Callithrix jacchus: one gene and its partner. The protein of the gene in region 1 binds, or shares a complex with, the protein of each later gene. Links are inferred from orthologs where the notes say so. Each region holds a gene or a part of one and is shown in the gene's direction. Other genes may lie near its edges. The genes, in order: NPR1 and NPPA.

Region 1 (7,498 bases):
GACGAGTACGCGCTGACCACCCGCGCGGGGCCCAGCTACGCAAAGCTGGGCGACTTCGTGGCGGCGCTGCACCGACGGCTGGGCTGGGAGCGCCAGGCGCTCATGCTCTACGCCTACCGGCCGGGTGACGACGAGCACTGCTTCTTCCTCGTGGAGGGGCTGTTTATGCGTGTCCGCGACCGCCTCAATATCACGGTGGACCACCTGGAGTTCGCCGAGAACGACCTCGGCCACTACACCAGGCTGCTGCGGACCGTGCCGCGCAAAGGCCGAGGTGAGACGCGGGCGCACCGGGTCCCGCAGCTCCGCCGCAGGGCTTCCCCTCTGACTTCCACTCTCGTCTCTCGTCCGGGCCACTCTTCTTTCTCCTCCCCGGTCTTCATTCCCCTCTCAGCTCCTAGGCCCTTTCTGCTGCGGAGTTTTCTATTTCCCTCTCTTTTTAGCCACCCTGCACCGCGCCTCTATACTCTCACCTCCCCGACCCCCACTCACTCCCTCCAACCCTGGCAAAGCTCAGTTCCGGTCCCTTTTTATCTCCCGCATTTTCTCGCTTCCCTATAGCCTTCTCCCCACCTTCATCCTCTCTTCCCGTCGCTCCTCAAAGTCCTCTCCGCACCGCCCCCCGCCCTCGCTCCTGTCGCCCTCCTGGCCCCACCCTTCTCTACCTTCAGCTCCACTATTCCCCTCTCCATATCTGTCCCTTCCTCTCTTCCGCCCCCCACATCGCCTTCGACCCTTCGTCTTTCTCCTGCCCTGCCGTGGTCTAGGCTGAGCCGGGTTGCCACTTAACTCTCACCGGGCTTCTCCTGCCCCCCATCTCTAACCTCCTCCCCTCGGTGCCTCCGCTTTCCTAGCCCTGTCTCTCCCACAGTACCTAGGCTTCTCTCTCTGAATACTCCTTTTTCTGCAGTTATCTACATCTGCAGCTCGCCTGATGCCTTCAGAGCCCTTATGCTTCTGGCCCTGGAAGCTGGCTTGAGTGGGGAGGACTACGTTTTCTTTCACCTGGATATCTTTGGGCAAAGCCTGCAAGGTGGACAGGGCCCTGTTCCCCGCAGGCCCTGGGAGAGAGGAGATGGGCAGGATGTCAGTGCCCGCCAAGCCTTTCAGGTGAGTACCTAGGTTTGAGGTGAGTACCTAGGTTTGAAGTTAGTACCTAGGTTTGAAGCTCAGGCCATCTCAGCTTGTGGCACGTCATTTCTGGGCACTGTGTCCCTCAGTGTCTGAAAGAATTCCAGAAAAAAAAGGTTTGGTCTGTTTGTTTCTTCATGCACTCATGGTAACTCACAGAACAGAAAAGTGGTTGGTGATGCTCTCTGGGAATTAGGCAGTGAAAGGCAGGGGACTAGCCGGGGCGCTTGAGCACCAGCAGGCTAAAAAGAAGAAAATGGGCTTTAGAGGGGAGGAGGTTAAAGTCCCACTGTCTGGACAGGACTTGGAGAAGCCATCCCTTTGGATTCCCTGCTTTGGAATGGGCATCACTTCATGCGGGGAATAGGGTTCAGTTTGACCTTGAGCTAAGCGGAGACCCAGCTCTGGGAGGTGGGCTCTAACTGTTGGGGCCCCATGGTACTGCGGGGATAGAGTCAGCTCCCAACTCTCTGCTCTCTGCCGACCGCTTCCTCAGGCTGTCAAAATCATTACATATAAAGAACCAGATAATCCCGAGTACTTGGAATTCCTGAAGCAGCTAAAACACCTGGCCCGGGAGCAGTTCAACTTCACCATGGAGGACGGCCTGGTAAGAAGAGGTACCGGGACCCTACAGCGTGGACCTTCAGCCCCCACTCCACGACCCTCTGCCAGCCTCCATTCCCTCTTCCCAGTTCTCCCCTTCCTTCCCTTCCCATTGTTCCATGTCTCTCCCGACTTATCCCTCTGGGATGTGAATCCCAAGACTGGTGCCTTCAGGGTAAGTTCGTGCATCCGGAAGACAGGGCCAACTCCAAGGCATCATCAGTGCCTCCTCCTGATGATGAAGGAGGACACTGGCAAGTTCAGCCTCTGAAACTCAGGTTACCATCCATAATACAGAGATGATACATCCCGCCCTGTGTGCCTAGTGTGATTCAGGAAGCGATGCTAATCCAAAGGCATCATTTAAATAGTAAAATCTAAATAGTCTGTTGGTACCAACAACAAAAATAAATAAATAGTAAAATCTCCCAGTGATGTAGGGGTGTTATTTTCTCCTATCCTCTTCCAAACTCCCAGTGCCTCTCATTCCCTTCCCCACAGCCCCCAACTCCATGCCCTTCATTCACCTCACCCCAGCCAACCTCTGCTTGCCCCCACAGGTGAACACCATCCCAGCGTCCTTCCATGATGGGCTGCTGCTCTATGTCCAGGCAGTGACGGAGACTCTGGCACATGGAGGAACTGTCACTGATGGGGAGAACATCACTCAGCGGATGTGGAACCGAAGCTTTCAAGGTCAGGGCCTTGAGGTGGCTGGAATGGGCAGCCTTGGGGGATGAATCCCAGGTGCCCACTGTCGTGAGAAGTCTGTAGCACAGAGTCACCAGTGCACACCAGCCTTTTCCTCCACAGCTTTTTCTCAGGCGCATCCCTCCAGAAGTCCTACTGAGTGTCCAACCTCAATCATCCCTGCTGGGCACTGGATCCTTTTATTTTATTTTATTTTTGAGATGGAGTCTCGTTCTGTTCCCAAGGCTGGAATGCAGTGGCTAGATCTCAGCTCACTGCAACCTCCAACTCCCAGGTTCAAGCGATTCTCCTGCCTCAGCCTCCTGAGTAGTTGGGATTACAGGTGTCCGCCACCACACCTGGCTAATTTTTTGTATTTTTGGGGGATGGGCATCACTTCTTGCAGAGCATAGGGTCCTGTTTGACCTTGAGCTAAGCAGAGACCTAGCTCTGGGAGGTGGGCTCCTGACTGTTGGGGCCCCACAGTACTGCGGGCATAGAGTCAGCTCCCAATTCTCCGCTCTCCACTGACCCCTTCCTCAGGCTGCCAAAATCATTACATATAAAGAGCCAGAGGTTCTGGGACCCTCCAGCGTGGAACTTGAGCCCCCACTCCACGATCCTCTGCCAGCTTCCATCCTTCCCAATTCCCAGTTATCACCCTCCCTCCCTTCCCATTGTTCCATGTCTTTCCTGATGATGGAGGAGGACACTGGCAGGTTTTTTTAGTTGAGACAGGGTTTCATGTTGGCAGGCTAGTCTCAAACTTCTGACCTCAGGTGATTCGCTTGCCTCAGCCTCCCAAAACGCTGAGATTACAGGCATGAGCCACAGTGCCCGGCCCTTTTACCATTTACTGTCATTCTGTATGCATGTATGTTTGGAAGGCAAGGCAAAAAAGATGAGAGGATGAAGAGATGAAGTGGGATACCGCTGAACTTCCATTCTCTCCCACACAGTCATCTTCCCCTGTGTCCTCAGGTGTGACAGGACACCTGAAAATTGATAGCAGTGGTGATCGGGAAACAGACTTCTCCCTCTGGGATATGGATCCCGAGACTGGTGCCTTCAGGGTAAGTTTGTGCACCCAGAAGACAGTGCCAACTCCAAATGGCATCTCACCCTCCTACTTCCCCCCACAGCCTTACCAGGGCACCTTTTATCCTGTAGCCACTCTACCGTGCCTGGACACTTACGAGAGCCCTGAATAAGACAGACCCAGCTCCAGTCTGGGAAAGCCACCAGAACGATAGGGACCCACAGGCATCACACTTGGGGAGCCCCATGCCTGAGGAGAGAGCACAACCCTGGCCTCAGAGAGCTCCGAAGGGAAGCAGGCAGGACCGCCTCCCAGCAGAGGCAGGGTCACAAAGGATGCACATTACACACCTCTACAAGTGAGTGAGGACAGGAAGCCACTGAGACCGATGGCAGCAAGGGACAGGTCATCCAGAGAAGGTTTCCTGGAAGAGGGGCACATGGATTGGGCCTGGGGATGTAGGCTGAGGTGAACACGGCCTTATTCTGTTTTCTACCAAGAAAATAGGTAGAGAAAAATCAATGCTTGGTTGGTGCCTCAACCAAGATTATAAACTCCCTGAGTGTAGACATTGGGTTCTATATGGAGTTTTCTTTGTAAAAATTCTTGATAGTTGTCAGGTGTTTCCACTTGAATAATACGTGTGTGGTATGAGGTCCAGTATCCAGTTGCAGCAGGGGCTTGGTAAACAGGTGACAACCCAGACATATATAAGCTCTGGAAGCAGAGCTGGGGTAGGTAGGAGGTGACATTGCTGTGCTACACAGCAGCCTTCCCCTCAGGCCCTGGCCTAGCCACCACTCCTGCTCTCCCATAGGTTGTACTGAACTACAATGGGACTTCCCAAGAGCTGGTGGCTGTGTCGGGGCGCAAATTGAGCTGGCCCCTGGGGTACCCTCCTCCCGACGTCCCCAAATGTGGCTTTGACAACGAAGACCCAGCATGCAACCAAGGTGACTGGCCCTCGCCTTCCAGGTCTCCATCCCAGAGATGCAGCCTCCTTCCCCTAAGCACAGTTGAGTAGGTGCTCCTCTCCCTCGATGAGGGCTTTCTTGAGAATGATTCCTGCCTTTTTCTTCCCTTCATCCATCATCCCAGTTCACTGATGGGCTATTAGAAACTTCTTCCTCCACGGCTGGGCGTGGTGGCTCACGCCTGTAATCCAAGCACTTTGGAGGCCAAGGCGGGTGGATCACCTGAGGTCGGGAGTTCAAGACCAGCCAGACCAACATGGTGAAACCCCGTCTTTAAAAAATAAAAATTAAAAAAAAAAGAAAGTTCTTCCTTCTGTTGTCTAACCCAAATCTCTCTTGCTGCAATTCGGACTCTCTCCTGCAGATCACCTTTCCACCCTGGAGGTGCTGGCTTTGGTGGGCAGCCTCTCCTTGCTCGGCATTCTGATTGTCTCCTTCTTCATATACAGGTGAGCTGTGATGTGGGGAGGCGGTGAATGTGGCTGGAGGACCTGGAGAACCAATAGCAGAGGAGGTGGTGGGGACCCAAAGGGAAGAGGACAGGGATGAAGGGACAGCAGGGGAAAACCAAGGGAGATGAGGAATAAAGGAGACTTAAAAGACAGAGGAGAGAGAAAGAGAAGGAAATGGCAGGGCAAGGGGAAGAGACTGGGCTAGGAATGGCCAAGGAAAGTCAGAGATATCCAGGAAGCAGACAAGTTGACGGGTGACATCATAGGGGCATGGACTGGTTTCCCTTGCTACTCTCGCCGGCCAGATGGGAAGCAATGTTCTGAACTTTCGGGATCATGCCCATGTTACTGAGCAGGGTGGCGAGCCCTGGTGTGTGCCAGGTGCTCAATCTAGAGTGGAGAAGGGAGTTGAATAAGCCCCATTCCTGCCGTCCGGTGGAGGCTAAAATGCAGTGCAGGAGGAGTTAATGATACACAAAAGCAAGGAGGGAGGGGATAAAATCACTGCTAGTTGAACATGTAATATGTGCCAGGCACTTCCACATACACTATTTCTTTTCATTCTTATAATAGTTAAGAATGAAATAGATATTGAGGCCTCTTTACCAAATGCAGACATTGAGGTGATTCCCCCAAGGTCCCCAGTGAGACAGAATTTCCCCCAGGCATCCTGATTCTCAGTCCAGAGGATAGAATTTCCCCTCCATCTCTGAGTCCATGATGTGATTCCATGCCTCTGAGGAGGGGCTGTGGAGCACCCTGTCCTAGGTCAGGGGCTCAGCCACAGGCTCAGATGCAGCCTTCATGCCCCAGGAAGATGCAGCTGGAGAAGGAACTGGCCTCGGAGCTGTGGCGGGTGCGCTGGGAGGATGTCGAGCCCAGTAGCCTTGAGAGGCACCTGCGGAGTGCGGGTAGCCGGCTGACTCTGAGCGGGGTAAGAACACTGGTGTTTGTGTGGAGGCAATAAATGAGAGCTGGGTGCAGGGGCAGTACCTGAGGGATAGGGAAGGGAGCAAGATTCTAGTCCCAGCTCTGCCTTCACTTGCTGTGTGACCTTGAGCGACTCATATTCCCTCTCTGAGACTGTCTCAGATGATGATCACAGCTGCAGAGCCTCCCTCACAGGGCTCTTTTAAAGGTCAGAGGAGATAGTACATGTGAAAACACATTTTTTTAAAAAAAGCAAGTAAATGAGGAGGAGATTTATGATTCGAACATAAAGCAGGGTGGGTCAGGCGCAGTGGCTCACATCTGCAATCCCAGCACTTTGGGAGGCTGAGGCAGGAGGATTGCTTGTGCCTAGGAGTTCAAGACCAGCCTGGGCAACAGAGCAAGACATCATCTCTACAAAGAATACAAAAATTAGCCGGGCATGATGGCGCATGCCTATAGCCCCAGTTACTCTGGAGGCTGAGGTGGGAGGATCATCTGAGCCCAGGAGTCTGAGGCTGCTGGACAGTGAGCTAGGATAGCACTGCTGCACTCCAGCCTGGACGATAGAGCAAGAATCCATCTAAAAAAACAACGAAAAGGAAGGATGACGCAAAGGCAAGACAGAGTAAGGCAGGGCAATAAAGAACAGAGCACAAGCAATCAGGATGCAGACTGGCTCCACCGGGTGACCATTCCTCCCGCTCTCCCTCCTTTCAGAGAGGCTCCAATTACGGCTCCCTGCTAACCACAGAGGGCCAGTTCCAAGTCTTTGCCAAGACAGCATATTATAAGGTAGGCCTGGGGAAAGATCACCGGGCCTTGGGACTGGGGCAGGAGTGTCCTCTGATGGAGGACTGGTGGGGGTCCTGAGGGAAGGAGTAAGCTGGTGGGGAGCAGCAGATGCGGACCCCAGGGGTGGGCTACTGGGAACAAGTGAGGGTCCTGAGGGCAGGGATGGGCTGTCGGGAGTAGCTGGAATTCCAGGACACCGGGCCATGCTCTTCACAGTGACAGTCTCCATTCCATGCCCAGGGCAACCTCGTGGCTGTGAAACGTGTGAACCGTAAACGCATTGAGCTGACACGAAAAGTCCTGTTTGAGCTGAAGCATGTAATGTGGGGAGTGAGGCAGTGGCATGGAGAAGGGGCCCTCAGGGACACAAGGGAGATTGGCCAACAGAACTAGTTATGGAGGGATCTCAGGGTACTCAAGAAAGGGCAAGGACTGGAGCCCTGGGAAGGACCTTCATCTTGTGGGTGGGAGTGGGGGAATCCTTAGATCCCAAGCTAGGAGAAGGGACCACTGGAGATACCCTGGAGGAATCTTGAGAGGCCATATGTGATGTCCCTGAGGGGGAGAGGGCTTAGGAGGTAGAGGGAGTAGGAGCAGATTCTGGGGAGGGTGGGCTAAACGACATGGGTGGGAATCATCAGGGAAGATCCTAGTGATGGTTGCAGAAAATGAATAAGGAGTTAAGAAGAGTGGGGGAGGAGAAAGAAGAGTGAAGGTCCCTGAGGCTAGCCAGCAGCTTGGCGAGGAGTGAGGTCTCCGCCAAGCTCCTGATGTTGGTCTCATCTGCAGATGCGGGATGTGCAGAATGAACACCTGACCAGGTTTGTGGGAGCCTGCACCGACCCCCCCAACATCTGCATCCTCACAGAGTACTGTCCCCG
Region 2 (7,400 bases), on another chromosome or scaffold:
TTGAGCTTGGCTGACCCAAATCAATTGCCAAATCTGTGTCTGTTACTTTTCTTCTCTCTCACTCCTACAGGCTGCTTCTAACCACGCCGTGAAATATTAGATCCCCCCAAACACACATCCCCCAAGGCTTGCCAAAGAGGGCCTCTTTTATCTTGTCTTAGAATAATATTACCCTGGATACCTCTTGTGACCTCCGGCCACTTGCTGCCCTGATTTCCAACTTTACGGCTGCACAACGCCCTGACCACCTAGTCAAGCATGAGGTCAACACAGCTAGGGACAGATCTGGCCAGGACAGAGCTGGTCACTCAACACATGTTTTCTGAGCTTCCGAAGAGTGGATTAAAACACATTCGGTATAGAAATAGATCAGAAGAGCAGCCGAACAGAAACAGACTTGGTAAGCGCACAGAAAGCTATAGTCCCAGGGACACAGGGAAGGTGAAGGACTTCCCTTGGGGCATCTGAAAGATAAGGAATGAGGGTTTAATTGGGGAATGCAGCTAAGGGATGAGGAGGCTGTACTCTATGTGAAATAAACTAAGATACGGACATCAATGTCAGACCTGGAGTTCCAGTCTTGGTTCGGCCACTTAGGCACTTGGCGGCCTTGGGCAAGTGGCATAGCCTCTCAGGCTCAGTTCTGTGCCTTTGTAAGTAAGGACAATGATATCTATTGCCTGGGGATGGTGATCAAAATAAAATCATTTCCATAAAGCTCTCAGTCATGTGCCGGGCATGTTATAAGCAATCAATAAAGACAACTATCATGGCCATCTTGCAGGGACTCAGCACTGCACACTTGATACGTGTTTACACTTTTTCAGCTGACTTGGGCTCCACAACAACCCTGCCAACCCAAGGTAGGCAGGGAAGGTTTCTACTTTATTTATTTATATTTTTTGAGACCAAGTCTTACTCTGTTGCCCAGGCTGGAGTGCAGTGGTGCCATCTTGGTTCACTACAACCTCTGCTTCCAACAGTCAAGCAATTCTTTTACCTCAGCTTCCTTAGTAGTTGGGATTACAGGCACGTGCCACCGTGCCCAACTGATTTTTAAATTTTTAGTAGAGACAGAGTTTTGTCATGTTGGCCAGGCTGGTCTCGAACTCCTGGCTTCAGGTGATCCACCCACCTTGGCCTCCCAAAGTGCTGGGATTATAGGCATGAGCCACTGCGCCCAGCCGGTTTTTACATTCTTTTTCATTTTACACACAGGAAAATAAGGCCATGAAGATGTAAGCAACTGGTTTGTTTTGGGCTGAAGTGCAGGTCTCTCAACCCTTCAAATTTAGTGTTTTCCCCAAGTATACATTGCATTGAATGGTAAGGGCTAACACTGAGTTCCGTGCTTAGCAAACAGGCCATTCATTAGACATAGCTGGACTTGGCCGGGTGCAGTGGCTCATGCCTGTAATCCCAGCACTTTGGGAGGCTGAGCGGGTGGACCATGAGGTCAAGAGATGGAGACCATCCTGGCCAACATGGAGAAAGCCCATCTCCACTAAAAATACAAAAATTAGCTTGGCATGGTGGTGTGTGCCTGTAGTCCCAGCTACTCAGAAGGCTGAGGCAGGAGAATCGCTTGAACCCGAGAGGTGGAGGTTGCAATGAGCCAAGATCATGCCACTGCACTCCAGCCTGGTGACAGAGTGAGACTCTGTCTCAAAAAAAAAAAACCCTAAAAACAAAAAACAAACACCATAGACAGACTCGCTGCCTGTTATTTCTCTTTTGGGGGTCAGGAAGATTGTGACCTTGGTGGCTCAGTCACTTTCCTAGCCTCAGGGAATGAGGTGGAGGGCACTGAGGGAAACTGACTATACCTCCTTCATTCCCACCTCCCTCCCTTCATTGACCAAGTGGCCATGGGCACAAGTCCAGGAAGGGCAGGGAGCCGTACAAGTCTGAGTGTCTATAAATTGCAAGAGATGAAATGAAATTGGCTGTGTTCTCAAAGCCTATCCCCACTGCAGGTTGGAGGAGGGTCACGGGGGATGTGGAGGAGGAGGAGCTTTAGAGAGTGGATGCTTGTGCTCCCCCGGCTTTTCTTGATATTTCTGTTTGGGGGTTGAATTCTTGGGAGCTTCATCACATTTGGTTCTTGGCTGACTTCATATTCTAACAAATAACTCCTTTTCACCTGACCATGGAGAGGGACAGACGGCCAGGGGTGAGGGCGGCCTTGTTTTAGGCCACGTGGCAGATGAGGCAGGTGTGAGGCCAGCTTGAGCCTCTGGACCCATTTGTCTCAGGCTGCTGGCTGCTTGCCATTTTCTCCTCTCCACCCTTATTTGGAGGCCCTGACAGCTGAGCCACAGACAAGCCTGGGGGAGCTGGGCACCAGCCAAATATCACCCTCTGTTTCCCTGCATGGGTACCAGTGTTGAGGAGAAAGAATCCTGAGGCATGGCGGTGAGATAACCAAGGACTCTTTTTTGCTCTTCCCACACCTTTGAAGTGGGAGCCTCTTGAGTCAAATCAGCAAGAATTCAGCTCTTGCAGCTGAGGGTCTGGGGGGCTGTTGGGGCTGCCCGAGGCAGAGGGGCTGTGACAAGCCCTGTGGGATGATAACTTTAAAAGGGCATCTCCTGCTGGCTTCTCTCTCGGCTGCTTTATCACTGCAAGTGACAGAATGGGGAGGGTTCTATCTTTCCTGCGTGCTTGAAGAGTTGGGAGGACTATAAAAAGAGGAGGTGCTGGGCAGTTTGGAGACAGGGACGGACGTAGGCCAGGAGAGGGGAACTAGAGAGGAACCAGAGGGGAGAGACAGAGCAGCAAGCAGTCGATCGCTCCTTGACTACACCAGCATGGGCTCCTTCTCCACTGTCACCGTGAGCTTCCTCTTCTTTCTGGCATTCCAGCTTCCAGCTCAGACCAGAGCTAACCCCGTGTACAATGCCATGTCCAACGCAGACCTGATGGATTTCAAGGTAGGACCAGGAAAGTGGGTGCAGTCTGGGGCCAGGGGACTTTTGATGCTGTTCTCGTTCCTCTTGATTTTCTCCAAGTCAATGAGGCTTATCCCTTTCCTTGTATTTTTCTTTTGTAAAGAATTTGCTGGACCATTTGGAAGAAAAGATGCCTTTAGAAGATGAGGTCGTGCCCCCACAAGTGCTCAGTGAGCAGAATGAAGAAGCGGGGGCTGCCCTCAGCCCCCTCCCTGAGGTGCCTCCCTGGACTGGGGATGTCAGCCCAGCCCAGAGAGATGGGGGTGCCTTCGGGCGGGGCCCCTGGGACTCCTCCGATAGATCTGCGCTCCTAAAAAGCAAGCTGAGGGCGTTGCTCACTGCCCCACGGAGCCTGCGGAGATCCAGTTGCTTTGGGGGCAGGATGGACAGAATTGGAGCCCAGAGCGGACTGGGCTGTAACAGCTTCCGGGTAAGAGGAACTGGGGATGGAAATGGAATGGGATGAACACTATTGGGAGACACCTTTAGCAGGAATTATTCCCTCCGAAGTTTCTGCCCCAACACCATGAGTGCCCCATAGGTGTCAGGACACACCATCTATCATCCTCAGCTACAGTCTGCTGAGAAAATGCTAAAAAAAAAAAAAAAAAAAGTGACTGCCACTAGCACTAGGAAATTAAAATATCCATAGGTCCAAGTTATCTTTGCATGGCTGATTAGCAGTTCATGTTCCTCTCCAGAACTGTAAGATCCTGAAGGGCTTAAGTGACATTTACTCTGCTGAGTAACTTGCTTATCAATTCATGAAGCTCAGAGAGTCGTCAGGCAGGATGGGGGCTGGTGGGAAGGTGATCAGTAATCAAGGTCAGAGGATGGGCACATTCATAAATGAAGCTGACATTTCCAGTACAGCCAGGTCACCACGCTAGATATGTCTGTGTTCTCTTTGTAGTACCGAAGATAACAGCCAGGGAGGACAAGGAGGGCTGGGCCCTGGGGCAGATGGCAAGAGACTCTTGTCCCCTGGGGTCTCTCCTGCAACTTCGTGTCATCTCATTGCCCTGGAGTTGTGATCATCCAATCCAAGCTGTGGCTTCCTGTCAACACTTCTCATATTTTATGCTAACTGTAGATGAAGTGGTTTGATTGTGGCTTCCTCGCCTCTCCCACCCCATGCATTAAATTTTAAGGTAGAACCTCACCTGTTACTGAAAGTGATTTGAAAGTGAATAAATTTCAGCACCATGGACAGAAGACAGATGCCCACATTGGTGTGATTTCTTCCGTCTCCGGGCAGAGTTCAGCTTGATTTTCCTTGTCATTTTACTCTTTGTCAGAGAAAAACAAATGCTCAACTTTTCTTTTTCCTTTCATTTCTCCCTCCTTTTCTGTGGGTCGTTGGGGAGGCCTCAAATTCCACCCACAGTGGTTTCTGGTTACACGGGTTTTTATTGTTTTTAGAGGGGGACATTCAGAAAATGAAAGTATTTAATTAGATCCTCTCTGATACATTTCGAGAGAGATGCTACAGATAAGTTAATGGTACTTTTTAGTTTTGAAAAGAATAGGCAGAGTGTTGAGTTTAAAAGCTGAGCAGGCCAGGCATGGTGGCTCACTCCTATAATCCCAGCATTTTGGGAGGCCAAGATGGGCAAATCACTTGAGCCCAGGAGTTTAAGACCAGCCTGAGTAATAGAGTGAGACCCCATCTCTATAAAAAAAAATTAAAAATTAGCCAGGTGTGGTGATGTGCACTTGTAGTTCCAGCTATTTGGGAGGCCAAGGTGGGACGATGGCTTGAGCCTAGGAGGTGGAGGCTGCAGTGAGCTGGTATCATGCCACTGCACTCTAGCCTGAGTGACAGAATGAGACTTGTTTCAAAAATATAATAAAAACTGAGCACAGTGAAGACAGGTTTGCCATGCAGACAAACTGAGTTTATGTGCCTTTGTTGTACTAACAAGTATTTAGAAAATAGCCAAAGTCTTTGACTAATTCGGGTCCAAAGGGCCTGGGCTTGTATTTTACTAAAATAAGAACCACTGGAGAAGATACAGGCTTTTTCTATCTGCTCCTGAAAAGGCTATTGTTCTGAGCACAAAAAACCAGGGTTGAAGTTCACCTTAAACAGAGTGACCTGTCTTCCCACCTGTTACCCATGGACTCCACCCTCTCATCAGATTCTATGGCACTCCAACACCCCACACCCACATGTGCCCTTGTGCCCTTATTTCTGTTTCTTTCACCTGGGTTTCCTTCCTCTGGTCCTCCCGAGGACATTGTACTCATTCCTTAAGGCTCATGTGAGCACCACTTCTTCCCTGATATCTCATGCCCAGTAACGAATCTCTTCACAGGCAGCATTTCACATGTAACAGTAATAGTAGCACACAACATGAGCTGCCAGTGTGCAATTGCTTGTCTACGTCCCTAGACTGCAAGCTCTTTGAGGGCAAATGCCTCTTTGGCACTCTGAGTTGATGCCCCCTAAATGTTGGTCAAATTGCCTTGGTCTTGTCGAGAAATTGGGAAAAGAGGAAAGGAAATGGAAATTTGCTCCTTGCAGAGGAAAGTGGGAGGGTCCCCGTGAACTGCTGACAGCGGGTGAAGGTGGGGAAAAAGCTTCATCTAACCACTTCCAATCAAAATGTTCCCTATCTGGGCTTTACACACTGAAGGGCAGAAACTGGGAGGCAGATAGAGAATGAAAAGGATGAAGCTAAGAGCAACAGGAGACAGTGCTGGCCCAAACCTGGCTCCAGAGGTCTGGCACAGTATTACAGTGTTACGAGTTGTCAGCAGGGGAAGTAGCAGCTGGGCCCATTTCCAAGGCGTCTCCGTAACACAGGGAGTTCTCATCGAATAGACATGACAAATACACACACCCCTGGAGTTCCAGAATACTTGGGGCTAGGTGCTAGGCCTGAATTGACTGCAACTGTTTCTGTCTCTGATGGAATGATGACTCGAAGCAGGTCGGAGGGAGACAGAGGCCATGCTTCTTGCAAAACCGAAAGCAACCAAAACACAATGGCAGATAGCAGCGACAGAAGCTGGCCACGGGTCTCCACCTCTCCAGATCCAGCGCCAGTTTCACTTCTGGTTGGACATTAGGGCATCTGCTTGCGGGAAATATTCCTAATAGAATGGATTCCCCATCTGCTGCTCCAGGACGCTGTTGCTAGCAGGAGGAGATGGTTTCTAGAGGACAGGATCGGGAAGAGTGCTCATCAGGGAGAAACAGATACTGCTGACTTCTACTAAGACCCACAGGATGAAATCCGTTCTTATTAAGGTCGCTGCTTGGTACAGAGAAATGGACTCCCATGGATGAAGAGCCCTGCTGGGCAGCTGCATAGGGAGAGCTCTGAGACTATAAAGCCATGTCCTAGTGTAATTTTCACACATCAGAAACAGGGGGAATAAAATAAAAACCAAGTACCCCTTGAAAGAAAGAGCAGCATGGAGACAAAAGGCTAAAGGAGACAGAAGACATTTTATTCTGACATGTTATGGTTACAATGAGAACTCCCAAGTTCCAAAGGTTCAAATAAAAATAGCATTTTACAAATTAAAAAAAATACAATTTATATACACAGTGGAATTAGCTCACATCATACAAACCAACAGTGCAAACAGAAAAAGGAAGCTGCGACGGTGGCAATGGCCAAGGTCCGCAGAGCCGTGGGGCAATACTGCACGTCAATACTGCGGGGCCGGAGAGGCCTTCCTGTCACCCAGGCTCCTGTCAGTGCCTAATTCTGCAGCACAAATGTCATACACAGGGCTGAGTCCAGAAAGTGTCCCTTCCAGCTGGGAACTGTTAAACAAGGTCATGAGCAAATCATCCCACAGCACAAGGTCCCACAGCCAGGGCCGGGGACCCCTCAGTCCTGCTCACCAATCATCTCGCCTAGGAGCCACGAGACGCCAAGCTGGAGACCAAACACAAACCACCACCTCTAGCCACACGCAGGATCTCCATCCAAGGATCTGTTTGACTGAGGCGCCTTATCACTCGGTGATGGGGCTGCTAATGGGTGAGATGCTGAAAGGCTGGTTTCTAATGAACAGAAATGGAAGGAGCGAGGCTTACAGTTTACTGTCACGAGTGGAGAAGTTGTTGTCTTTGGACTTATCTGGAAAGGGCAGATGCAGAGAGAACAGGAAACCATGTGCCTTTGCATGGGGCCTGGGTTTGGGGCCTCCTTGGCCGCCGCCCAGTAAGTTTAGGGGAGGGAGGCATTTGCATTCTACTGCCTATCTCTGTGCTAAACTCATGGGAACAAAATATCTGGTGACTTAAACACAACAGGATGGGCACGAGGGATGAATTCCAACAACATTCACCAGGTCAGCAAGCGGCTGCTGATCCAACCCTCCAGAGGCCAGGGTCCTCCTGCAGGGCGTTAGCTCTGGTAACTCCAGAAAGGGGCAGGGAGAGGGGATGAAGTGTCTGTGACAGGTGATCACACCATTCTCCTGACT

Evidence for each region.
Region 2: the proteins of NPR1 (region 1) and NPPA are in contact, whole or in part, in a crystal structure (PDB 7BRG), measured with the Rattus norvegicus proteins. The link is inferred for Callithrix jacchus from reciprocal best matches to the Homo sapiens genes NPR1 and NPPA. Residues at the interface, in NP_036745.1 of Rattus norvegicus: Asp90, Val115, Tyr116, Ala119, Pro120, Arg123, Ala139, Leu140, Gly141, Ile142, Val144, Tyr148, Tyr182, Asp184, Leu186, Gly187, Asp188, Asp189, Arg190, Phe193, Phe194, Val196, Glu197, Tyr200, Met201, Arg204, His213, Gln214, Glu215, Phe216; in NP_036744.1 of Rattus norvegicus: Arg126, Ser127, Ser128, Cys129, Phe130, Gly131, Gly132, Arg133, Ile134, Asp135, Arg136, Ile137, Gly138, Ala139, Gln140, Ser141, Gly142, Leu143, Gly144, Cys145, Asn146, Ser147, Phe148, Arg149, Tyr150.

What each region holds. Positions count from the first base shown.
Region 1 is NC_133519.1:14,104,195-14,111,692, forward strand, and holds part of NPR1 (atrial natriuretic peptide receptor 1), read left to right. Parts: coding exon 1-274; intron 275-910; coding exon 911-1,110; intron 1,111-1,627; coding exon 1,628-1,741; intron 1,742-2,297; coding exon 2,298-2,433; intron 2,434-3,408; coding exon 3,409-3,500; intron 3,501-4,283; coding exon 4,284-4,419; intron 4,420-4,804; coding exon 4,805-4,889; intron 4,890-5,705; coding exon 5,706-5,826; intron 5,827-6,542; coding exon 6,543-6,617; intron 6,618-6,857; coding exon 6,858-6,935; intron 6,936-7,406; coding exon 7,407-7,498. UniProt on the Homo sapiens protein: Receptor for the atrial natriuretic peptide NPPA/ANP and the brain natriuretic peptide NPPB/BNP which are potent vasoactive hormones playing a key role in cardiovascular homeostasis.
Region 2 is NC_133508.1:49,726,870-49,734,269, reverse strand, and holds NPPA (natriuretic peptides A), read left to right. Parts: upstream 1-2,711; 5' UTR 2,712-2,810; coding exon 2,811-2,933; intron 2,934-3,054; coding exon 3,055-3,381; intron 3,382-3,864; coding exon 3,865-3,876; 3' UTR 3,877-4,166; downstream 4,167-7,400.